3 linked regions of the Drosophila melanogaster genome follow. The protein of the gene in region 1 interacts with the protein of each later gene in a pairwise test. Each region holds a gene or a part of one and is shown on either strand. Other genes may lie near its edges.

What was found. Proteins that work in one complex are often made in the same cells at the same time.
Region 2: the proteins of RpL22 (region 1) and Efa6 interact in a two-hybrid assay, tested with the Drosophila melanogaster proteins (one large-scale study listed by BioGRID).
Region 3: the proteins of RpL22 (region 1) and CG7231 interact in a two-hybrid assay, tested with the Drosophila melanogaster proteins (one large-scale study listed by BioGRID).

Annotation. Positions count from the first base shown.
Region 1 is NC_004354.4:759,715-768,407, reverse strand, and holds RpL22 (ribosomal protein L22), read left to right. Parts: upstream 1-3,277; 5' UTR 3,278-3,312; coding exon 3,313-3,324; intron 3,325-3,485; coding exon 3,486-4,106; intron 4,107-4,321; exon of another isoform or gene 4,322-4,466; intron 4,467-4,597; exon of another isoform or gene 4,598-4,967; intron 4,968-5,173; exon of another isoform or gene 5,174-5,325; intron 5,326-5,416; coding exon 5,417-5,683; 3' UTR 5,684-5,848; downstream 5,849-8,693. Other genes in the region: CG5273 (uncharacterized protein), read right to left, coding at 7,047-7,726, 7,880-8,609.
Region 2 is NT_033777.3:22,584,497-22,593,068, reverse strand, and holds the start of Efa6 (exchange factor for Arf 6), read right to left. Parts: upstream 5,315-8,572; 5' UTR 4,789-5,314; coding exon 4,651-4,788; intron 1-4,650. Other genes in the region: btn (buttonless), read left to right, coding at 6,444-6,920; CG6937 (uncharacterized protein), read right to left, coding at 7,006-7,635, 7,699-8,043, 8,111-8,206; CG33107 (uncharacterized protein), read left to right, coding at 8,425-8,572. UniProt on the Drosophila melanogaster protein: Guanine nucleotide exchange factor for Arf6. Regulates axon growth and branching by inhibiting microtubule polymerisation at the cortex. Together with shot, promotes axonal microtubule bundle integrity.
Region 3 is NT_033779.5:7,980,702-7,989,599, reverse strand, and holds CG7231 (uncharacterized protein), read right to left. Parts: upstream 5,655-8,898; 5' UTR 5,362-5,654; intron 5,060-5,361; 5' UTR 4,833-5,059; coding exon 4,790-4,832; intron 4,326-4,789; exon of another isoform or gene 4,107-4,325; intron 4,048-4,106; coding exon 3,832-4,047; intron 3,767-3,831; coding exon 3,516-3,766; intron 3,462-3,515; coding exon 2,895-3,461; 3' UTR 2,815-2,894; downstream 1-2,814. Other genes in the region: pes (peste), read left to right, coding at 49-357, 423-1,207, 1,273-1,723.

The DNA.
Region 1 (8,693 bases):
ACTCCCAGCAGGCACATGCGTATCCGACATACATATGTATAGGCGAGTATGTGGCTCTCTTTCGGCTTGGCGAGCATTCCATTAACTAGTTTTCTGGTCGGCCGAGTTCAAAAGCGCTTATTAATCTGCGGTACTTGTGTTTAGTACTTTTAAATAAGTTTTGAGTACTTTATTCAGTTCGCTTGATGTTTCGCCGCCGCTCCAAGTCACGATGTTTGCTCTGCTCGTCCCCCTTTTCGCTTCTCCCATACTGTTTGCCTTTGCTTTTGCCTTTCCTCTTGCGAATTGGACGCGCGTCAATATTTATTTTATTTATCTCCTTGCTCGCCCAGCTTGCGGGATACTCGAGGGAGGATGGGGGCCAGACACAAACAAATCGAAATATGGCCATGGAGGTACTGATTTCTTCCCGTGGATCAAAATACCAGGAGAAGGGGGGAATGGCGCCCGCCAGCAATTCATTCCGTCACCCAGCGGACTTCTCTCTGCCAACTCTTTCGTTCTTTCTTTGCAGAAGCCATACAAGTAATGCGATAATTACAATGCCAGGAATCATTCGTCAGTTGGCCACTCCGTGTGAATTACCGCGGCTCAGACTAAAGCAATCTAAAGTTACTCCCAGCACAAAGGGAGGGGAGAAGCCTGCAATGCGTACCAAGAGCGTTACATGGGATTATCCCCTGTCTCCTGTTACACCAGCCAAATAAATCTTCGGCTGGCGGGTACGTAAGCACCTGATTCCAAGCTCATTCAGACATTTGGCTAGGCTCCAGGGCGAAACATACAAACACCAAGGCATTCGCGAATCTCCTAATGGAATTAGGTCTCGTTTATATGCACAAATCGTTCAACAGGCCCAATCGAGGGAGCTGCAAGCCTGAATTTAGCCATGGGAGGTTCAGCCTCTATAGGAAGGAGCCCGCACAACAAAAACCCCAAAATTGGAGATTTAAAATAATCTAAAAGGTGGCACGACACAGTGACAAAGCCCTCGATCCGACCTCTGCGAGGGCTTGGCCTACAACAAACTGTTCGCGGCGGAGGGCGCTTAAGATATAATTTGCCATATCTTGGCGGAAGGAGGGGGAGATAGTCCCGCGCAGTGTCGGCGAAGATGTGAGCCGCGCCGGGTGCTAATAAAGTTGCCCGCCAAGAAATGAAGGGCTTTGGGGGAGCTCAATAGGCACTTCCCCCTGCGATTTTCTGCGGCCCGTCTAGGTGCTAATTTAGCGACCTCACAGAGATACAAATCCGCATGCGAACGCAAGGGGTTCCTCAGAATTTCCATTTTCAACCGAAGCGAACCGCAGATAAGGGATAAATGTCAAAATTATCTGCACACTCGCTCCCCACATTAACCCATGCCGTACGCACTATCGTGCAACTGACCAAACCCAAGGTGAAGGAAGGCAATCCTTAAGATCGCGGAAGAATCGTATTTCATTAGTTCATTTATTCGACATAATATTTCGCATTGTATGCTTGAGTTCCCATGGGTTAAACTTCGGGCATGGCCACTGAAGACTGCAGAGCGAGCGAGGATGGGCAGGCAGAGGAGCCGCAGACGAGAAGCAGAGCACATGGGACGGACAAAGTGCAAATATATGTTGTTAGACCACAAAGCCGGTCCCAAAGTCAAAAGCCGAAGGAGGCGGCCAGAAACACAGTAAAAATGGCAAAAAACGAAGAGCATTCCCTCGATATGCCAAAGTGCATCAGGCACTAAAATGCAGAAAATTGAAACGGGCTTTTAATGAAACGAAAGCGCCGCCAGAGATGAGATGCGCGCCTGGCTCGGATGACTGGCTATCTAGCTGGAAGCGGATATCTGGCTCAGACGTCCACTCAAATGGAGATGGAGGCAGCATGGGCAAGTGAGCGCTTACAGGCGAAATAAGACGAACACAAAGAGTCAATTAATTAGTAGATGGATTCACGATTGGCGCTGCATATATAGACACTGCGCTGCAGTCGAAGGTGCGGTTGGGATCACTGTGAAAAATACTTTCGGTTGTCTAGGCCTTTGGAATTCCCTTGCAACATGTTGCCCGCGTTCAGGTAGGAGACCGAAGATACAATCTGCACTTTCTCCCAGTGTCGAAACTATTGCCGAGAGTGGACCTTCTTTTACTCGAGATAAGAACGGGGATTGGGAATAGAAGCTGGGCGTTCATTAAATGATAAGCGAGCGACGGACGGGTCCGTGTGATAAGGCCTTCTGGCCCATCGGGATGGGCCAGGTAAGAAGACTCCATCTGCGACAACGGAGTGAAGTGCGCACAGAGATCAGGACTCTGGTGCCCAGCCAATCTGGGCAGTTAAAAAGCGGCAAACACGGGTCGGAAACAGAAGCGGCAGCGAAAAGTATGACTTGAATGCACGCAATCCCCAGGGCGCCACAAGGATCAAAATGAATTGTTAGTACGAAGTGGGGAATTCATGATTACTGGAAATAGAAATAGAAATAGAAATAGAATACTGGAAATTATGCGAAGCTGCTAGCCGAAAACGGGGCGTGGCGGAGGAACCGGATCGAGATTGGAAGTGGAAGAGGGAAGGGAAAGGGGCAACACGTGGAGCGGGCGCAGGAGGCAATCAATCGGTTTCCTTTTCGGCAGAATGCTCATTATCGCCAATTTGTGGGGGCAACCGCGGGGCGGTTGAAAAGCAGATCTGCACTGAGAACAATGCAATGTCGAACTCCGCAATTGTGATTTTATGCCGCGCAAATGGCGCTGTGATCAGGGTTCCAGCTAAAAATTAAATGCACGTCCCGCGGCTTCTTCTCCTCATCATCCTCTTTGTCTTCTCTTCATCGTTTTTGCTTTTTCGCTGCTTCTTCTCGTCTTGCTCCTCGCCATAGTTTTATGATATATGGTCACAGGGGCGGGCCAATCTCGTGGCACGTTCGGGGTGTTGGTAATTATAGGACTTTATGTCTGGAAGTTTCTTTATGATGGCTTTTACTTTCAAGCGCAATTCGAGGGACGTTAGCGTTGTTGCGGCATAGCAAGGCCTTGTTCGCATATTGACCATAGGTTTTAATATTCGCTGTACGAAAGGCTGTCTGAATAGTAAGAAAACATCATTTTTTTAAGCAGAGTATTCATTTTTTTGCTGAACGCTGGGAACATAACTGCGCATTGGATTGGAACACGGTTGCGGGATAGCGGAGTTCCCAACCCAGGGATGCAATTGCAGCGTGGCTTATCGGAATACGGCGTTGGCGCGCTGCGGCCACACCAACCGTCTCTTCTTCTTGCCGTCGCTTCCGCCTTCTGTTCTTTTTCCTCGTGGTTTTCGACTGACAAGATGGCTCCTACCGTAAGTGCTCCGAAATATGAGTTTCGCGACTGGCCACCGGCGCCCGGGAGCTCCAAGTTGTGTAACTCTGCAGCGGAAAGCCCTAGTCGGTGGCCAGCAGCGAAATATTCCATTTGTCGAATGTGCGTGTGATTTTTTTTGCTTTTTTTTTCGGTGAGCAGGCCAAGACCAACAAGGGTGATACCAAGACCGCTGCCGCTAAGCCAGCGGAGAAGAAGGCCGCTCCCGCAGCCGCCGCCGCCAAGGGCAAGGTGGAGAAGCCGAAGGCTGAGGCCGCCAAGCCCGCCGCCGCCGCGGCCAAGAACGTGAAGAAGGCGTCCGAGGCGGCCAAGGATGTAAAGGCAGCCGCCGCTGCTGCCAAGCCCGCGGCAGCCAAGCCCGCAGCTGCCAAGCCCGCCGCCGCTTCCAAGGATGCCGGAAAGAAGGCTCCCGCTGCCGCTGCTCCCAAGAAGGACGCCAAGGCTGCTGCTGCTCCGGCTCCCGCCAAGGCTGCTCCGGCCAAGAAGGCTGCCTCCACGCCTGCTGCCGCTCCCCCAGCAAAGAAGGCTGCTCCCGCCAAGGCCGCAGCCCCGGCTGCTGCTGCTCCCGCTCCGGCTGCAGCTGCTCCTGCTGTCGCCAAGCCCGCGCCTAAGCCGAAGGCAAAGGCTGCCCCAGCTCCCAGCAAGGTGGTCAAGAAGAACGTGCTGCGTGGCAAGGGACAGAAGAAGAAGAAGGTCTCGCTGCGCTTCACTATCGACTGCACCAACATTGCTGAGGATAGCATCATGGATGTGGCCGACTTCGTAAGTACATGGGGTACACAGATGATCACAAATCTCACCGCTCAGTACCAAGCACTGGTTACAATCTGTCGTTGCTTTCAAGATGTTATGGGGGATGTATTGCCCATTAGTATCTTTCACTGTCTATGGTAAAAGTAGTAGTGTGCCGTCTATAACTATAAATTGTTCTCCCAAAACATTTGAAAGCATTAACCAGATCGAAATCTGTATAGTCTTACCGCACCAAGCTTTCCACTGCCCTCCAAGTTAACCAGGGGCTCTGGATAAAAAGTTGTGGTTATAGTGAGTTCACTCCATTTTGCGATAAACTGCCAGCGGACTTTCCCGTGCCGCCGGCGGTTAACAACTTCTGGAACAACGCTAAATGTAGATGATAGTCATAGGAAGGGTAGGTAGGTGTCCGTTCCGTTTTAAACCAAGTCGAATCTTTCGCTGCCTCATGCGGGCACACGCGTTTCTTCCCAGCGCCTTCCAATCGCGCTTGTAGTCAAGGGGCTCTGGGCACTGCACAACGGGGTAGCCACTGACCGCCAGTGACCTGGCACTGGCCAGTGGTGCAACCGTCTGTGAACAGCGTCAAGCCGTGCTATGTGTACCGCCACGTGGTGGGCCCTGGGTTGAGTGCGACCACATCCGTGGCGCCTCAGGCCAAAATTCATAGTGCGCCCTGCTCACAGTGCCCGCTCTTCCGTGGCACTGCAGGTTTTCCCAACTTGTAGAAGTTAGAATTAGGTGCTTCTTCCATATGCCAAGTGATAAGCCAACTGACTAAGTACCCGCTAGTGGGCAAACCGAGTGCGCTAAACGCGCTTCTCAGCAGGGCGCTGAATAGTTCAAGTGTCGCCTACGTCACGGGATCAGGTAACTACAATCTTATGCTGCATTCACAAACGGGGAATGGAACCACTGGGGGAAAGGTACATAGTCGCATGCATGCGACTGAGTCATTTGACTGGAAACCCCCTTAAGAAGTTTCCTTTACTGGCACGCCGTCCGAAAAGTACCGCACCTATTGGTTCCATGGCCCCTTCATTGGTCATCTATCACCTAGATAAATCTATTTTACAGGCCACGCCGATTTGCCGTCAGAGAGTGAGCTTTATGCGTCGCTCTGATGGCAGTGTACTCAGTGGCAGAGCAAAAAATTGGTCACTCTTCTTTATTTGGGCTCTCTGTTCTACCCACTCGACTCTTAGCCTTAACAAAGAAAGAGACATTTAGCCCAGCTTACCGCTAGCAGGAGCTGCCCCAAAGATCCAGCCCAGTCCAAGCTGAACTAACCCGGAATACCCTCTCTATTCCGCCCGCAGGAGAAGTACATCAAGGCCCGCCTTAAGGTCAACGGCAAGGTGAACAACCTGGGCAACAACGTCACCTTCGAGCGCTCCAAGCTGAAGCTCATTGTCAGCTCCGACGTTCACTTTTCCAAGGCATACCTCAAGTACTTGACCAAGAAGTACCTGAAGAAGAACAGTCTGCGCGACTGGATCCGTGTGGTGGCCAACGAAAAGGACTCGTACGAGCTGCGCTACTTCAGAATCAGCTCCAACGACGATGAGGACGACGATGCCGAGTAAAGATGTAGCTGATCCCTTCAGTGGAATCACTAGGTTTACATTGGTTTTTATTATACATTTCACGCCCTCAAGCGGCGTGTTTTTATAAGCTAACAGAAAGATGTGAACTCATGAAAAAAAGAAAACTTCGGGCTAGCCTCAATAAAACAATTGTGTGTGAACCTTACGACCCCCAAGTCATTTTTATTGTTAGTACAAATCTATCTGGGAGAAAAGACCTATTCAATTTATTTCGCTTGAGAAGATGCGGCTATAATCATTGAAAACGATTTGCCTTCAAAGACATTTGGTTGTGGGCATGTACTTTATATATTTAGACATTTATCCAATCCAACAAATCCGATATCCCCGTCTCGCTTTTTTCCGTGATCGGTTGGTGCTCTTTGTTGAAAGAGTGATGAATACTATTGAATACTATGTGCATAATTTAATTGTTTATATTATCTGGTCATCCACATAATGAACACTACTTGAAACTTAGAAAGACGGAAAGTAGATTTATATAAAGCCAGTCAGTTGGATTGCATCCAATCGAATAATTAAGATGTATGGGGGGTGCTCTTGTCAGCTGTCTACTTTCAGGGCATCCGAGAGTTTACAGATTTAACTAGCTGCAAATCGCAGTACGTTAGTCCGTCTGTGGTTACGAAAGCAGGGGGTCTAGAATAGTCCGGACCACTGGTGTGCTCATCGTTATGCAAGCGGACCATTAACTAGTCAGCTTCCCATTTCGTTTAGGCGTGTGCATCGTGGGCACCGGCCATGTGAAATGAAACTCATACGTGGCGGGTGTTGTAGGTGTAGGCGAAAGCTTTTATTTTATTCAACAATTGAAGAGTGCAACAAATACGTTTGCTCACAGCAATACAAAAACAAGCAACAATTACGCTAACAAGTCTAGAAAAATACACACTTTTAGTGGGAACTTACATTCAGGTTGTCTTTCTTCAGAAGGCTTTTGAGTTGGGTTTGCACATAGGGCTATATAAATGTATATATATATATATATATGTATGTATGTAGTTGCAGAGATATTCGAGCGTTTGCTTTGATTTCGAGCACACTGGGATGGGTCCGGGCCCGGTTACGGTTACGGGGCCCATGCACACCGCAACAATCACAATTGAAGGCCAAATTGGAAAAGGGGGCTTTTTGACTGGGAAGCCAGCTTGTTTATCCACAAATACTGTAGTCGGAGATGGTACGGCATAATTCAAGAGTTTTTGTCCAATTAGCGCCTGGAATTATCGATGTTGGTCAGCGCAAATATGCGCGCCAAGGCCACAACAGCTGGGGAGGAAGGTACAGTAGGTAGTCGGGTAATTGAGTGGGTGCACAGTGGAACGTTCCAGAAGCATGGTCTCTAAAAGCCAGCGAGCCGCTTGGCCACCACTCCGCTCATAAGCACGAGCAGAAGGGTCCGCATGGTCAATCCTTCCAAGGCCCGAGCTCCGCCGGTGTGGGAGCGAACGGATGCCTGGATTGGAGCGGCGACATCCTGTGCCTGCTGCACTTGCTGCACCTGCTGCGATCCTGGTTGATCAGCGGCCATGGGCGCCAGTGGTGCTGGACCCTCGCCGGCGGAAGCAGCTGGTGGCGGGGGTGCCGGGTAGCAGGCAATCTTCTCCACCTCTATCATCTTGGTGCTGTCAGCCGGATCCGTTTCGTTTACCTTGGTGGGCACACAAATAATGCCTCCAGGCGGTGGGGGAGCAGCTGGGTCCGGCGCGGTCATGTTAGAGGTCTCTGGATTAAAGGGCATTGGTGCCATGGGTACGGCTGGCTGTTGGGCATCTTGGGTGGTGTTGGAAGAGGGAACTGGGGCCGCTGGAACTGCTCCCGGGGCAGCAGCCACACCTGCTGCATTTATCACAGTGGTGCCATCACTGGCATTCACTGGCACGCCGTTGTTAATGATGATTATGCGATCCTGACCAGCAGCTGGAGCTGCGGCAACCGGCTGCGAGGAGGAACTGCCTCCCGAGGGAGTGAGGGCGTGACCCAGCAGGGCACCTCCCAAGCCGCCAGCAAGCAGTCCAGTTCCTGCGAAGAAATTAAACATTGAAGCGCAAAAACAGGTGTGTCACTTAAACAACAAGCGTTTACACGATTTATGTGAGCACTTAAAGCAAATATGAGTCAGCAACAGAAGATTGCTGCAGGGGATCGTGATACACTGCGTGTTAGACGTCTTACCGAAGCCCAAGCCAGAGGAGGACTGTTGTGGTGGTGCAGAATAATAGGTGGCTCCGGGCGGCAAAGCAGATCCCGCCTGGTAGTAGGTGGCCCCCGGAGGCGGAGCAGCAGCTGGGTGATAGCCACCGCCCATGGGAACATGGCCGGCGGACGGATAGTATGTAGCGCCAGCGGGGATATTGGGGGAATAGCCACTGCCGGGTCCTGCAGCCGGGTAGTAGGTGGCTCCAGCTGGCACTCCAGAGTACTGCGGCTGATGGACATTCGATCCGGTGGCGGCTCCATAGTTGGGAGGAGCTGCTCCGTAGTTGGGGGCATGGTAGGCTGGCGGCGGCTCGTGCATGTTGGGTCGGGCTCCTCCGGCGGGGTTGGAAGCGGAGTAGGCGGGCGGCGGACCCTGCGGCACATTCCAACCTGGCTGAGGGGCGGAGCCTGGGGACCCTGATGAGCCCGCGGCCATTGGTCGATTCGGCTGCGAGTTGTAGTTGGGGTAACTCAGTTTGGCCACATCTGCATGAGAGTTCCCGGCGGCGTGGCCATTCGTGTTGTAGCTGGGCTGCGTCACGTGACCGTAGTTGGAGGAGCTTGACGAGGAGGAGGTCTTCCGCTGGTTGCCCTGGTTACGCCGGGCGTCCACAACATTGTCTCCGCCGTGCGTCAGCAACAAGGCAAACAGCGCCCAGGCCACATAGGCGAAAGGGGAACAGGCGCCACCACTGGAGGCCATCATGTGATCCGGATTAGTGCTTCACCCTTAGACGAGTGGAGACAAGACTACATAAATGTCAAACACGGCAAATACGTCAATGCAGAT
Region 2 (8,572 bases), on another chromosome or scaffold:
CGAGCACCACCCCCTACGAAGCTCGAGCTCAAGAAAAGCCGGGTCGCTTGCAACTAAACTGAACTGAACTGAACTGAGCCGAGCCCGGCTATATTTAGTTGGGCTGGGCCGACTGCCTTCCGTCGAGCAGAAAGAGCAAAAAGCAGCAAGAAAACCAACTTAATAAACGCGTGCGCAATTTTTCTACTTTTGTAATTCAATTAAAGCAAGTTTACTCTACTTTTTTGCACTTTTGACTCCCAGTGAACCGATTGAGAAGGGGAGGAAATATATGCACAAATAGGGCCAAGCTCGTAGTTAGGCTACGTGGATGCCCTGTAGAGTATTATGTGCATCCACACTTATTTTCTGATTATTAATATGTTAAAAGGTTTACTTAAAATCGACGATTAACCATTAATATGTAGTACTATTTAAAAGTAAAGTAGCATCACACCCTTGTGACTCACATTAGTATCTTTTATCGAATAAGATGTCTGCATCTGATATTTTACAGATACAGTATCTTAAGTGTGGATCTCTGCCATAGCTTCAGATACGTGGTATAAACTCCAACCACCCTGTAATGGGGCATTTGAGGCAAAAGTTAAAGCCGTATCCCCATCTCTTGACATTTACTTCTATCTCGCAATTGTAATCGAGTGAATGCTTGTTGCTGGATTGTGCTTTTCAGAGCTTGAAGTTTGCCGACCTGCTCGACTCTTCTGTTTTGTTGCCGTCTGTTTTGGTTGTTGTCGTTTTATTCTTGAACGTGTCAATTGTCATTACCCGCAATTTGCCAAAGAAGGCGAAAGATCGGGATCATAACAGCAAACACAGGCATTCCGAAAGGGGGAAAAATCAATAAGTAGCTAAGAGCTAAGAGCTTCTTCTATTGCTTTGCCATTTTTTCTATGGTTTTGTTTTTTTTTTTGTTTCTTTTTGTCTGCGACTTGTCGGTGGCAATTAATTTGTTGCTCGCAGTGGGCGGAGCCCCACAGCCACAACAACAACAACAACTACAATGGGAACAATGACAACGAAAGCGGCAACGGCGAAAAGTCGTTTGTCATTTCCAGTTAACGAGTAATTAAGCATAACGTTAGAATTTTGCAACAACGCCAGTCGAGAACAAAAGAAGCTACAAATTTCGCAGGAGGCGCAAAAAAAACAGGCAACCTAAAATGCCATGGAGGTATACACAACTGATGTTCTAAAGGTTTTGTATTTTATTTTGTCCCGTTTGCGATTTTATGTTTGCCCTAAAAACAAAAAGAAGTGAAGTATTAAATTCTTTTCCTCGAACAGCTGGGCAAAAAAGTAATTTTGAGTGGCGAGCGAGGAGAGAGCAAATCACTTGGCAACCCAAAAGATTAATGACTAAACGAATATAAATAATTTCGAAAAACATCAACAACTAGTTGTGTATTTGCTATTTGATCATGAGTGTTTGGCATGGAGTTTCGCCCAAGCATTCAATGTTTGTTTTTAAATAGATATATCATATGGCTAAAGTTTTGAAAAAGCACAATAAGATATTTATAAATGGGTTTTAATGTAGAATCTATCTAGTGCGCATAGACATTTATATAAATCGACTAGATTTAAAGGCGTAACTGCTTTAGCGCAATTAATGCAATACAATTTGCCACTCAGCCACCTCGGAACGCAGATACTTTTGTCGTCTGGCGAGTGTGTGGAGTATACTTGATGTATCTGAAGAAGTGGGAAAATAAACAAACGTGCGGTAAATGCATTCAGAAATGACAACAAACAGAGAGCAGCAACTGCGAAGAGGCAGGGAACTTAGCTAAAGAAAAGCCAGGCAAAGAAAATGGGAAATGGAAAAGCGAAGGCGACAAAAGACAACCGACGACAGCGTACACACACACATGCAACATACATACATACACACAATTTGTACACACCCAGTTGAGAAGAGCGTGTGTGCATGTGTTTGTGCATTCATTGAAAAATAAAATTGTACCGCAACCAGAATGACGGCATATAAAAAGTAAAATTAATTGCATTCGAGGAGCCGACGCATTGGTTACTCATTAGTTTTTATGTCTTACAGGGTGCGGTCTTGAAAAAGCAACTAATTACAGATGGTATGCTTTGTAAATGAGAGTTATTTACAGTTGAAGGTGCTAAGTTTAAAAATGAGGCAGAAAAATTCTGTATATAACGTTTATAAGGCAACGTGGAGCGTAACCGATACCCTAAATAATACAATTTCTTAGGAACTCAATATGATATTTTTCTGTTATAGCTCGGCTCATAAATATCAAATCAATTGAATTGAAAATTATAAATATTGTTTTTAAACACCCTAGGTGCCAAGATACTCTGGAGCACCCACTTTATAAGCAGTGTGTGCATAGATACACATGTATGTAGATAGAAGACAAGTCAAACAGCCCCAAAACAAGCCGGGCAACAAAAATAACAACAAGTTGTAAGCGAAAGCGATAAGAAATTGAAAAAGTGCGTGCCGCTGCATCCACATCAACACACACACACATATACATATGTATTATGTATATATATAGATACATGTCCATATGTCGATGTCAGTTCGTTGCCTCAAGAAAATTACCGCGATGCAATTGTGTTGCTTTCCATCATACCTGTGTGGCTTGTGTGGAATTACTTAATAATCTCAACAATTTAAAATTCCCAACGCGTTTTTTTGCACTCTGCTTTCACGCATTTCGATTTGTTTTCTGTTGTTTTGTTTGTTCGAGACCAAGTTTTTGTGGTTTTTTGTGTTTTGGTGGTCGGGCGCATAAATTTAACAACCAAAGCTGGAGAATTCTGTTTGGGTTTTCGTGTAAATCGTTTTATTTTATTATTATTTTTTTTTTTTTGTTGCCACGTCCGATAATTACAAAGTAAGTCGGAGGCTTTATGTGTGTGTTAGCATCGGCCTGAGTAAGTTTATTTATAAATTGTTGTCTTTGCATTGCTTTTTATAGCGCTGCATTTGCATTCTGTCGATTTGTTAACTTTGCGTTGCAACTCTTTCGAATCGCAGTTGCATGGGGAAATTAATAACAATTGAAATGGGCCCCACGTAAAGTCCATTCTTATCCAATATCCGCTGGGTGCGTTCATCGAAGAATCCCATTCTGAGAAATCCAGATTGGTAATAGCTACCAAAAGGTGACTATTCTCTATGAATTGTATACTAAATTTACTTAGATAAGATAAATGGTGCGGATGGGCTTTTTCAAGAGAAATTCTATAATACTTTCCGAGTCTCTGATATTACAATATATGTAGATATTTTTAAAATGAACAAAACGCTTTCTGCTGGTTATATCATGAGAATTCCGATTCGATTAAATTGACAATAAATTGATCTTTACACAGCAAAAACAATCGAACAGTAAACATATCAGCATTTTATTGAAAAGAAAGACAAATTATTTGCCTTATTTTGTTCGCTATATTTACACGCTTTGTTTTCTTTTGCACTCGGCTCTAAACATTCGAGATGCGATGCGATGACAGTAAATAGTAAATAAAAGCAAAACAAGCCTGAAAATTGATACACTGGCTTTTGTGTGAGACTACCCGCCCCTCGCCCCCTTCCAGCGCCCTTCCACCCATCAATTAAAGCAACGATGACATCACGAGCGGCAAACAATGATGACACGCCAACGGAGGACTCTCATTTGCGCTTTTCTCGCTTTTTTCGCTTTTTTTTTGTTGCCGTTGTGCAAATTGAAATGCTTTCACATACGCCAGCAGACAGCCATGGTCATCACCATAAAAAAAAGAAGTGGAAAAGTGGAAAATATTCTTATCAGCAGCCGAGGGGCGAGTCTCGGTCGCTTTGCACACAATCCAACTTCCAAAACTCAAGCCACCAGCTGCCATAAAAAATCGTACTTATCTATGTATGTACATACATACATACATATGTACGTATGCACTTTGCGTCAGATAAAACGTCATGAATAATTTGTTTTCCGTTTGAATGCTTATGTAACGGCAGTTGGACGGTATACAAATCCTTCAAAAATTTTAAAACGGTGCTGAAATCACACAATTTGTTATTGCACTTCTCTAAAATCTCCTTAAAATTCCCTGAAAAGCACAAAATTCCAGGGAAAAATGCGTATTGCAGAACAGCAATCTTAACTAGAAACTGGCATGATTTCTATGAATTTTGTCAATTGTCAATTTTTTGTCAATTCTCTAAAATCTCCTTAATATTCCCTGAAAAGCACAAAATTCCAGGGAAAAATGAGTATTGCAGAACAGCAATCTTAACTAGAAACTGGCATGATTTCTATGAATTTTGTCAATTTTGCCAGCTACGTATTTCCATTTAATGATCTTTAATAAATTCCGCTATTGGGCGGTGTGCCTTGTCGAGGCTCTACTGTAGTCTAAAATGTGGCGTTGCCAAAAGTGAGCCCAGCAAGGGAGCTGTTGCTTCTGCTTCTTCGCTGGCTGCTTCCAGTGCCCGGTGGTTGATGAAGTCATTGGTAGAGGTGGTCGGAGGTCACCGGTGGGTGGATATGAGGGGGTGGCATGGGCCGCTCGGTGTGAGGACTCCGCCAGTCCTCCTGTCCCAGACGGGAATGGAATGACACACAGCACACACAAAGGCGCAGAGGAGCTGCAACTGCGGTGTGCTGTTGTGTTTGCTTCACTTACCGCTCCGCAATCGGCTGCCGGCGAATTCTCGACGATGTCGTAGATGACATGTGGCGGTCCGGTGGTTCCGAGTAGCGAAAACCCGAAACCGGAATGCTGCTCGCTGCGCCGCAGCACCACTTTCAGTTCCTCGCTCATTTTGGGTCCTTCGGCGTCCTGCTGCCGATCGGTTCACACTCTTTTCACCGAGTTTTCGTTTGGTTGGTTGGCGGTGTGGGTGGGTAACCCCTGGGCGTGATTAATCCTTTGGGCGACGGCCACTTTTCTTAGTCGCTTTAATTAATTCTCGCTGTTTTGGGCTTGGCCAACTTCATTTGCACACTCTCATTTTGTTTTCACTCTTTCCACTTCACAACATGCACACAAACACACACGCTCACAAACACTCATACACGCACTCACGGATGACGATTTGAAAAAAAGAATGAAACTCCTTGGCGAATTTGTTTAAACATTAAACATTATTGCATTTGCTGCGCTGCTTCTTCTTCTACTTCGTTGGCTTTCTTTCCACGCAATTCTGCGTTCCACGCAAACGAAACTTGTTTAATTCGCCCGTCTGCTTCTCGCTTCGTTTCTTTATGTCGCTTTTGTCCGACTGTTTCGCCGCCGCTTAGCGGTTCGCGGGGGGTTTTAGCCGCACATATTTTGGCGAATGTGGATGCCCAGATATCGCAGATTGTACTAAATGATTGTAAATTGTAAATTGTACTATTGCACTGGGGATGGGAAGCATAAAAGTATTAATATATCGATAGATATCGGAAAGTATTTCTACCGTTGCTTCATTTCTATCGATAGATATATTTAAACCTCTTGTATACTTTTTCTAGATTAAATGAGATTTATTAGCTGACAAAGGAAAATTAAAAGAAATATATGAATAAATCTAGCCAAACAATAACTACACAGCGAAGGACAACAGATATCACTGAATGCCCTTTGGAATGTCATAGTCTGGCAACACTTGAAATGTGCCTATGCCTTAACCAAAAAAGATTACCCAACACTTATTCAGTTTGAAAATAAATGCGGATAATTTAAAACCGGAACCGGTTAATTTTCATATACCGGTATATTATTTAATAAAAACTCAAATAAAAAAGGGTATACCTAAGCCCCAAGAAAAATAAGCAGAAGCTAGAATTTACGTTTTTGCTGTGTCCATTTTATAATTGGTTTCATAATAGGATATCAAAATTTTTTGATTTCTTTTCTAATTTCTAAAACCCCCGTAAGACTTATTTTATTGAACTATTTTATCCCTTAACCATTTCTGTGACACGCACTTATTTCCCCATTAATTATTATATAAAACTCCACTTTGTCATGGATTATCTAGGAATATACACTCAATGGTCACTCGTAATCCGCCGCATCGACTTTAAAAGCGCGTGCAATTGCGACTTTCAGATAAATCTCCGACTGGGTCTTACGACTCGCCGACGGTTGTCTATTAAAATTTTATAGCTCCGCAGTTGGTGGCACAAAGCACTTGACTCATGCGTCCACTTCCGTTTCTGACCGGACGCCTGGGGAAGGGGCTGGGAATCGGATTCGGGTTTGTTGTGACAACAGTTCGTAGGCAAAGACAACAAGCCGATCTGCGGGTGTCATAACCACTCATACCCGAGGTCCAGATGTTGCGCACAATTATCATATCAGCAGCACATCATTTGCGACTAAGTGAAAAAGCAGATTGGCCTGGCACACTCTGCGCCTTGTTTAAAAAGCAGCTCCGCCGAATCTGAGATTTCAGTAATAGTTTAGACCTAGAAGCAAAGACATCGGCAATGAAGAACTCCCACGCGAACGTCTACCAAGAATCCTATTGCTACGAGGATATTACGAAATCGTGGCTGAACCAAACGGAGGGCTATACGGACTGCAGCTATGTATATGACCACAGTGCGTCTTCTTCCTACGCGGATTACAATAAACTAGAAACTAATTGGTGCAACGAAGCGAACGATCAATGGTTACAAAATGAGGCACCTACTGGTCAAGAACTTCCAAGCCAAAGGTCCAAACTCCGGGCAATCAGCTCGAATCGCAAGGAACGCACAGCATTTTCAAAAACGCAGCTCAAGCAGCTGGAAGCGGAGTTCTGCTATTCCAACTATTTGACTCGCTTGCGTCGCTACGAAATCGCAGTGGCGCTGGAGCTGACCGAACGCCAGGTGAAGGTGTGGTTCCAAAATCGACGCATGAAGTGCAAGCGCATCAAACTGGAGGAGCAGCAAGGCAGCTCGGCCAAAACGCCATTTTAGTTTGTACAAGGACATATTTTAACACAATTCATCTTACAAAATGTTTTCGCTTACTTAACAACTATAGTAAATGTATTTTAAGCTACTACTTGGATTTCTTGGCCTTTCCCTTGGGCAAGGGTTTGGCCAGCGACTTGGCTGCGGCCAGCTGCAACTTCTGGGTGGCGGCATTCTTGTTGCTCTTAGCCGGCGGAGCTATTTTCTTCTTCTGCACACCACCAGTGCCGGGCTTGCGTTTCAGTTTATCAGCCAGCTTAGTCTTTTTCTGCTTGGGCGGCGGTGATAAATCCTCCTCTTCGTCGCTGTCATCGCTGGTCTGCTCACTGTCCGCTTGCTCCTCCTCAGCCTCCAGATCGGACTCATCATCGGATGCATCAACGTAGTCCTCATCATCGGAGTCCTCGTTGATGGTGTTGCCCAGCAAATCCTCCAGCGTTGGTTCTTTCTTCGCGGCCGTTTTTTGTTTCTTACCGGCTTTCTTGGCGGCTGCCTGGCTTGTAGATGCCTCAGCGGAGCCTGCTGCTTTCTTTACTGGTTCCACCAGTAAGTTGGAGAAGTCGATGCCCAGATCCTTGTACTTCTCCTGCAGCTTCTTGATCTTGTTGAGATTGGCCACGGTGCGCTTCTGGCAGGCGGACTCATCCCAGTTATTCTGCTTTTTCACGCTGCGCTGTGTGGCTTTGGTTAAATCCGAGACATAGATTTCCTTGCCGGCCTGCAAGTGAAGTACAACTATGAATAACAAACGGACATTAGATGTATTTCCCTTTGAACGCACCTTATTGACAACCTTCTTCAAGGAAGTCCTGAAGAAGTTGAGTGTCTGCTTCTCTGGTGGAATGTAGGTGGCCTTCACCACCTTCTGGAACATCAGGTAGTTGTCCATGGTGTCGGCAGCCACCTTGGCCACCTCCGGGTACTCGAACTCCACGAAGGCGTAGCCCTTGCTGTTACCGGTGCGCAGCGAACGGGCCAAACGGACGCGCAGCACCCGACCGAACTGTCGGAAGTACTGGCGCAGCTGCTGCTCGAAGAATCCGTGAGGCAGGTGCTTCACAATGACCACGCCGCGTTCTGGACCCTTTGGCTTCTGCGGCCTGGCCTTGGTCACCTTTTTCTTTAGCTAAAATGGACGCAGTTTACGGTTATCCAACCCAACGGAGGAGCATTTGTTTTTGGTAGCCGCTCACCTGTCCGGAAACCACATTCTTGGCTGCATCGATGGGCTTTTTGGGCGTGCTTTGCTTCTCGATCTTCTGCGCCTTGGGCTTCTTAACAGGCGGCATTTTAATTAGTGTCAATTCACTAAAATTGATTATTAAAGTAGTAAATGAATAAAAATCGCCGCACGTGGAGCAACAATAATGGTATGACCGTTTACGTTCATGCGATACAGCGCTTAACTAGGCGTTAGGCTATTTGACCCACCCCTTGGTGCCTGGTCACTCTTTCAGTTTATTATTTCTATTTATTTGCTTTGCGCATTTTTTACCGCCAATACAAAATGAATCTATCTGATTCATCGTTGAATAATTCCCTCGTGGAAGTGGATGAAATGCGCCTAGGCTATGACCACGAATCCATCATGTCCTTTCTCCGGAAGTCGTCCATCAAGCATTTGTTTCCTTACGCTGCAGAAACCACAGACGGCA
Region 3 (8,898 bases), on another chromosome or scaffold:
TATTGTTTGATCATTGTATATTTTAATAAAAATTTTTCATTATTATAGGAAATGGCCCTGAGCCCCAATTCACGATCATTCGAGGGCTGGAAGGTGTCGCCGCTGCCTTTAGACTTCGATATATATCTATTTAACTGGACCAATCCAGATGACTTCTATGTGGGATCGAACAAGAAGCCACACTTTGAGCAACTGGGACCCTATCGGTTTCGAGAGAAACCCGATAAGGTGGACATCGAATGGCACAATCATAACGCCTCCGTATCATTTCACAAAAAGTCCTGGTTCTACTTTGATGCTGCCGGCAGCAACGGAAGTTTATGGGATAAAGTGACTACGGTCAACAGCGTAGCGCACGTAAGTTCTCAGAACATCTCTCAATCTCAATGAAATCTATTAACATCTTAATTATTTTTAAACAGTCTGCTGCTAGACGTGCGGCCGTCGACTGGTTTGCCAGAACTGGCGTTAACATTGCCAATAAATTATATAGACAGGGAGTGACCATTACGAAAACAGTTGATGAAATGCTTTTCAAGGGCTACGAGCATCCATTCATAAGCGTGGGCAAGCTGTTGAGACCTCAGGATGTTCCCTACAAACGTATAGGCTACCATTACCCACGAAATGGCAGTTCCGAGTTCGATGGTGATATCAACATGTTTACAGGAGCTGATGATATCGCTAAAATGGGTCAGATTCATACGTGGAATAATTTGACGCATACTGGAGCCTTTGAGGGCACCTGCGGGCAGGTGCACGGCTCGATGGGCGAATTCTTTCCGCCCAATCTTGGCACCAAAGACACCGTCTACATGTACATGCCCAAGATGTGTCGTGCTATACCATTGGACTACGTGGAAACTGTGACCGTGCACGGCGTGACCGCCTACAAATTCAGTGGCACCCGGCACGCTGTGGACAATGGCACTCTATATCCGGATACCCGTTGCTATTGCGTCGGAGGAAAGTGTATGCCCAGCGGTGTGATCAATATCGGACCCTGCTCCTTTAACGCATCCGTCTACATGTCCTTTCCGCACTTTTACATGGCGGATCCAAGCTATCTGGAGGCCATCGAGGGTTTGCGACCAGAACGCGAGAAGCACGAGTTCTTCATGGCCCTGGAGCCCAATGCGGGCGTGCCAATGGACGTGGGTGGTGGCTTTCAGGCCAACTACTACATGGAGCCAATTCCGGGTATTACGTAAGTAACTTGACCTTTACATAAGCCTTTTCCTTACATAAACTAATATTTTCATTTTCTTTCAGCTTGTATGAGAATGTCCCGACGGTCATGATACCCATGATGTGGTGCGAGGAGCGCGTACGCGTATCAGAGGAAATTGCCGCAGACATTGCGCTTGTTCCGCTAATTGTCCTGCTGGGGCAGATAGTAACCGGCATCCTTTTGGCGGGCGGTCTTATATGCACCTGCTGGTACCCGACGCGACAAGTGACGCACTTTTGTCACAGCGATCCAAAGGCGAAGGCCAGTGTCCTGCGACCACTGAACGCCTTTGGTGTAAATTCGTCGGCAGCCACAGCGCCGGTGGCCCAACTATTCCGGAACAACATTAGTTCATCGGGCAACGAGCGTGTGGGAGTGCGCCTACTGGATTATAATCGCGATTCTGGCATAAGACTGGAGAGTGGTACCATGGAAAGCTCGCACAGGGAGCGTCTGATCAGCGAGGACTCGCCCGATGTTGTAGTTAGATAATACATGCGTTGGCATCAAGCCATTCTGACGGTGCCGCCAACGATCATCTGCCTGAGACTCATTTACGTCGCCGTAGCTTAGAATAGCTTAGAACAACGTGATGAAACCATTCTGCCTTAGCCAGGCTCTAAGAGGCTGGACCAAGTTGCTCATCGAGGATGTCGTTCCAATTCACGTCACATACCACCACATTACCTACCACGCATGCCCCAATCGCATTAGGAGTTCCCTCAACACATCTGCACGCTTTGCGGACAGCGAGAGAGATTTATAAGATTATTTATTTTAGTGCCAAATAACAGCAGAAAACGCAAGCAAAAAGTCATTAACTATTTTAGTAGGATAAACTAAATTGTATATAGAGCGACTCGCTTAGAGCGCCCCATTACTCATTTTCCTTAATTCTTGAAGTTTAAACTGCGCATGCCCAAAGTATTTATATTTATATAATAATGCATAACATTTGTAGAGCGATATTTAAGATTTTAATGCAGATTGATCTGAAGTTATATAGAAATAATATTGAACAGAGAACATAGGTAGCGAGAATTGTTGCTCATTTACATAGGTAGGCCGAAAAACTAAAAATTATAGTTGTTGTTTTAAGTCTTGTACAAATAACGCTAGCACTGCAAAGATTACGCATATCCTATGTACAAATGTCGATCAGTGTAAGATCTAAATACCTAGATTATAAAGCACAGCTGTGAACCCCGGAAATATTTCCAAAAATTCCTTAAGATAAATGAATAGAAAAAATTATTAAAATCAAGTGATCAAAGAGGGACTTTCTGAAAATGGCAGTAGTTACTAAAACTACGTATGGAGACCCTGAAAAAAAAATATCCAAACATATCTTCATATAAATTTTAAATTCGAAATCCAATCAATTTATACATTTGTTACTATTAAACTTTACATTTGTCTTTGCCTTGAGAAACATATTCCCTTAAATAAGTTTCTTTAAATCCACACAATACACTTGAATAATTAAATGTGTTTTAAAATTCATCTTTTTTATATAAGATGACTCGTCATCCAAGGCGATTTCCAACAATTCCACCTAAACGAAAATAAAACTGTCAACACATAAAAGTATAAGTTTTAATTATGTTTTCTGGAAGTTGTATAAAAATTGCTCTGATTACCGTACTTATATTAATTACGTATATTATAACCGCTGCATCCAGCTGGACAGAGCCCAAAAACAAAGGCTCATGAAACTGAAGCCAAACAGGGATTTGAAGGTGCTGGCTCCGTTGCCGGGATTGTCCAGGTTCAATTGTGAGGCCAGCTCCTCCGGCACATCCAGATAGACTCTATCCAAGCCGAAGCTGAAGATCAGTTTGCGCAACTTATCCACATCCACATAGTCACCGGCAGACGACCAGATGGTCAGGGTGCTCTCGTTTGTCTCGTTCACCGCGGCCACCAGTCGATGCAGTTGCTCCTCGCTGTTGGCGGCAATGCCAGCGCGCACGGGAAAGGTTATGGCCTGGCCAGTGGATAGGACATTGTTCTCGCTCAGCGTTTCCAGCATGTCATCACACTGCTGCTGCGTGTACTCGCCATCCCGGAAGTCGGCTCCCCAGTTAGTTGTCCAGCCAATGGAGAGCACTGCCTGTTTGTAGCGCATACAGCCGGCGAAGAATCGGTCCGCATCAACGGGTACGGTTCTATTCTGTTCCACGGGACCACTTAGAATATCGGCGTTTATCCACACAGGATACGTGGTAGGCTGCACAACACAGAGATATTGTTTAATTTGTTCTGATATCTGAGATTCGATGACCAAACTTACGTTCGGAATATTCACGTCCAGAATGTCCAGGGAACCCTCGAATACCTCGATCGACTTGAAGTCGAGCTTAACGCCCTTTTTTTGGTCCTCATGATCACGGTTGAAATTAATGATCTGGTTGAGAAATTCCGACAGCGTAAGATCAGAGACATTGGCCGGCGGATGGGCCATTATGGGCATGTCCTCGCCATCGCCATTCAGTTTGCCCAGCACAATGTCCGCTTCGATGAAGTCAATGCCACCTTGGGCAGGGAAATGATACTATTGATAAGTTGGTTACACGCGCATATTTGGCCAATGATCTTACTGGTTTCGGTTAGGACCTCGTCCAGCAATTGCTGGCTGTTGACGGCATGGGCCCAGGTAATGGCAGTGAGATTTGTGCCCCATACCTTCATCATATCCGACTGTTTGAGGAATATATATTCGATCTGGGAATCGTCTGGCGCTGTCTGCTCGACCACCACTTGGTACTGATAATTGCTGGCGTTCAGAGCAGACCCATTGATTTTGGCCACGAGCACTGCGAGTGGACGTGAAATAGACGGCATTAATATTCCACAATTGGACAATGGGACGCACAGAGGGCATAATATGGCAGATACGCGTAGATAAGCCCATTTGCCTTCCTTACCACCCTACCAGCGAGAATTGATACGCAAACACATGCAATCCAATCCAATGTGAATTTGTTTACTTCGCAATGAGCGTGTACATATGTATGTGTGCGCGAATGGACTCTAATTAACTCCCTTTGTTATGCGATTTTTATGGAATGCAAAGCGCGTTGTGCCCTTCTTCCGCTTTCACCGAATGCTGCAATGCAACTGCACATCAATAATTCTCTTCAATCTGTCAGCTGTGCAATGGCGCAAGCGTAGAGAGCAGACGTGAAGTGAGAATGGCGAGAAATGTGCTTAACTTCAAGAGACCGACGCTCATATACCCTAGCTCTAAGAGTTTACATGACAACTTATTGACAAAAAATAACAAAATGTTGCTATTTTACGTTTTACCCCCTTTTTGCGATTGTGTAAATGTATTATCAAGTAATGTTACCCAACACACTCGTCAGATTTAAATGTTTTAATTGAGTACAGGAGCATCGACTATCAGATACCTGTTAGTTTTTTTAAGTTATGTCAAAACTAAACTGTCTGGATCCTAATGTTTCCAAGCGACCCAGGGGTCGTATGTACATGAGTTAAAAACATTAAAAAATGATGATATGTAATGATTTTGAAAAGTGCAAAAATACGAATTACCAAATAGTAGCGTTGTAAGTAGAAAGGTAATTTTTGAGTCCATTTTTTCTATAGGTCTAAGGGCACTTGATCATGAACTTGGGACCGCCACGGTTAGAAACGAACTAAATGGCAATTTTTCAGTTTGGCTTATCGATAGCATTTGCTGATTTAATTAAACATTGATTAAGTATTGTAAATTGGTAGTGACAATCTATCCGCATATCCCAAAATCTAATCTTTTAAGTGGTCACGTTATCCGATGAACTCGCGGACTAGTTAAACTAGTTACTACATTATAAAGAAGAAAGAACAAACAAACGTTTTTATGGAAATTATTACCACACATCTTGTAAAATCATATATTTCATTAAGTACGATTTACATTTATTTGCTTATTAAAAGATAAAATGTTATTTAAATAAGTTTAGACCGCGGTCTCTGTTAGAAAAGCGTTGCATTTTAACATTTCTGTTAAATGAGCAGCAGTAATAGAAGAGAAAACGTAAGAGAGCGGTTCAAAGAGCGGCACTAGAGTGACCATGCGGCGGTACACAAGAAATGCGGCCAATAAGCGAGAGCACAAACTTTACCGAAACGAGCGCTAGAAGAACTGGCCACACTACACCCCCGACACTCAGTTTTAGTTCGAAAATTTAACGGCTCTGGAACCGTTCGGACGTGTCGCTCTCGGTGCGCGTGTGTGTGAGTGGCGAATATAAATATCGGGGGAAAAGCTCGCACGTGCGACGCTTGCGAAAAAAAAAATTGAAAATATATAGTAAAATTGTTGTTTTATTTATGAGTCGAACTAATGTCCCGTCAGTTGACTAAGGACAACGCCAAGAAATAAAAAATAGTTTTAGGAGAAATAGTTTCACGACTTTATTCTTTGGATCTCAGCTTAAGACTAAAAATCAAATGCAAATTGGATTGAGGAGAAGCCTCAGTATTTGAACAATATTTGTATTTCGGGAGAGCCTCGCTCTTGGGTTCTTAAGATTAGGTAGCGTTGAAAGAGGGCAGTCAAATCTGCTTAGGTCAGGCTTTAGGATGTTTACAAGAACGGCTGCGCTGCCAAAGATAAACGAATGCTGCGCAGCTGGGATACGTTATGGAAAATTACTAGAGTGCATTACTGATTTCTTTGAAATAATGGAAGTGGCTGGTTTGGACCACCCAAATACGTCACTCCCCTTCCCTTAAAGAGAAGCCTATACTTGGGCTGGGATTGATGGATATAGTGTGGGAAATGGAGTTTCTTCTATTTCTGTTTGTTGTGGTGTGTTTTGATTTTGATTTTTTCTTATTTTAAGTTTTGCATACAGCATCATAAATGGTTTAAATGATACATATCTTAAATATGAGTACAACAAAATTAGTGCGATTATTACAATGATCATTTGTATGTAAAGTGTAATATTGTTCTCTGAAATCATCTCAACAATGTCGTTGTGTTTTACAATTTTTATTTTTGTTATATTAAGTGGTGTGTATAGTGATGTCAAATCTATTTCTGGTTCTAACAGATTTTCACTTAAAATTATATTATTGATTTCTATTTTGCATTGCGTTACTCTTATCATTTTGTTTCCTTCTATTTTTATTTTATTAATTGAATTTTGGCAATTTTGGTTAAGAATTGTTTGGGTTAAGTTCCAGGTTACAATTGTGTTTGGTTCTATGTATTTTATTATTTCGTTCGTGTGTACTGGCTTAAAATTACAAATTGGATTTAAGTGTTTAATAATATTGGTGACACATTCATTTTTTACTTCTTTATTTTCGGTATTATAAACTTTATTTTCTTTTTCAAAATATGATTGTGTGTCTGTGTAATCTAGCTGATAGCCGTTGGAGTCTGGGTAAGGAATTATTTTAATTGTGCTTATTAGTGAAAGGTAAATGGGTATGTGGGATATGATTAATACTTGGTTATCATTGTAGTTAATCCAAGTGGATGTTTTAATGTTCAAAATGTTTTGGCTGTTCACATTTTCAAGTTTGTCGTAGTTTAGTAATTTGGGGTTAAACAGTCCAAGTCTGGAAAGCTGCATAGCCATTTCCAAATCTTCTATGTATTCCGTCATTTATCAATCGTATGGCGTCGTTGAGTTCATGTAATTTTACTGAGTTATGGACGTTGATTTCAAGTTTTTTCTGTATTTCGACTCGATCATTTTCATCTAGTGTTCCAAATAGGTATTTAAAACCTGAACCCACAATGTTAATAAGACCCCGTTTGTTTCTATGTTTCAGGGTTATTCCGGCTAGTTCTCTTTTTATTTTATTGTATAAAAAATTGATCTGGGGTGCATGGTAATCGGTTCGTAGTCTTTGCTCAAAATAGTCAACCACGATGTCTATTTCAGTTAAATTGATTTTTAAGGAGTGATGTTCAAAGGAGGATGGTATCTGTACTGGCTTATCAGAAAAAAGGAGGTATCCGTGGTTGGTGTCAATATTATTAATTTGAATTTGTTGTCCATGAACAGCTGTGATCAGTATAAACAATAGTGTTATCGGGTACCAGGTGCCTGTGAAATTGAGAGTTTATTATTTTTCTTTTGTTTTTTGAATTGTGTTTTGTAGTAGTGCGTAACTCTATTTCTATTAGTGATTTTGTAATGGTCAGGGTCTGTCTGTTCTACATTTTTGGTTGGTTTAAATGGGTTTTCTAATTTGCCTTTCTGTAGTGGACCTTTTCTGTAATTAGTGTCAATATTAAATTCCTGTCTGTCTTCATTTATTTTGTCTATTTTCTTCTCTTTAATTTTTTGAGTGTCTAATATGGGATGCCCAGCGTATAAGAAAATTTGAGCAGGTGTCTGTCCAGTAGTGTCATGTTTAATTTTATGGTTGTATGTGTAGAGGATTGTTTCTATCTTGCTTAATTTTACTTCTTCATCATCAGATGAATTGATTATACGAATTTTTTCATTTATTGTTTTGTGTAATCTTTCGACGTCTGCTACCCCGTTTTTTGCTGTATTGAGCTGTAATTCGACTTCTTCTTCTTCAAGCCATCGCTTTAAAGCTAAACTGGAGAAAGCTCCGTCTCTGTCTGCCTTTAATAATTTGGGTTTACCTAGTTGATTAAAAATGCGCATTAATGCGTTTCTGCATTCTATCCAATCCTTAGTTTTAATTTGCTCAAGTGTAGCGAATTTAGAATAAATATCAATGCAACTGATGTAATGTTTTCCCTCAGATGAATAAATATCTACTACAAATTTTTCTCGGCAATGTTCCGGGTTGGGTGTGATTTTTAAAGGCATTTTGGTGTTTCTATGTTCTGTTTTGGCCAAATTGCATATGTTGCATTCGTTTATTATATTCTGAATTAATAGTTGGCTATTTGGAAAGAAGTGATTTTCTTTAAATAATTTTGTCATTTTCTGTATACCAGGGTGTAAAAGTTTTTCATGTGATTGAAGTATGATTTCTTTGAATTCGGCGTATGAACCAACGTTCTTTAATAGGAAAAGACTGCGAATTACTTTTGTGTAGGTGGTATTAACAATTTCTATGTGTGCTCTTTGAATAATTTCAAAATCTACATCGCTCTCAATATAAATGGTAATGTTTCTATGGATAAAGTGATCGAGTAAAATTTGTTTGGCCTTTTCAAGTGTCATTACATCATATTGAATTGTGGTAATGGAGTTACCGAATATTTTTGAATGCTCTACTTTATTTTTATCGGATTTAATAAAGATTATTTGTTTTTTGAAATAATTTATTGGTTTTTCTGTTAAATGAATAAGGTTGCTATTGTCCTCTTCTGCACTATGTTGAGTAGCTTCACTATGATGATTTTCTTCAATTTTAATTCTTGATAATGCATCGGCAACTGAATTTTCTTTCCCTTTAATATAATCTATTTTAAATTGGTATTCGCTTAATCTAACTCTCCATCTTTCTAACTTAGCATTCGGTTCCTTTAAGTTATGAAGCCATCTAAGAGGTTGATGGTCACTGGCAATGAGAAATTGTCGTCCTAGTAAATAATGTCGAAAAGTTTTTGTGGCCCAAACTATGGCAAGTAATTCTTTTTCGATAGCACTGTAATTTAATTCGTGATCGTTAAGTGTTCTACTAATAAAAGATATAGGATGACCGTTTTGAGA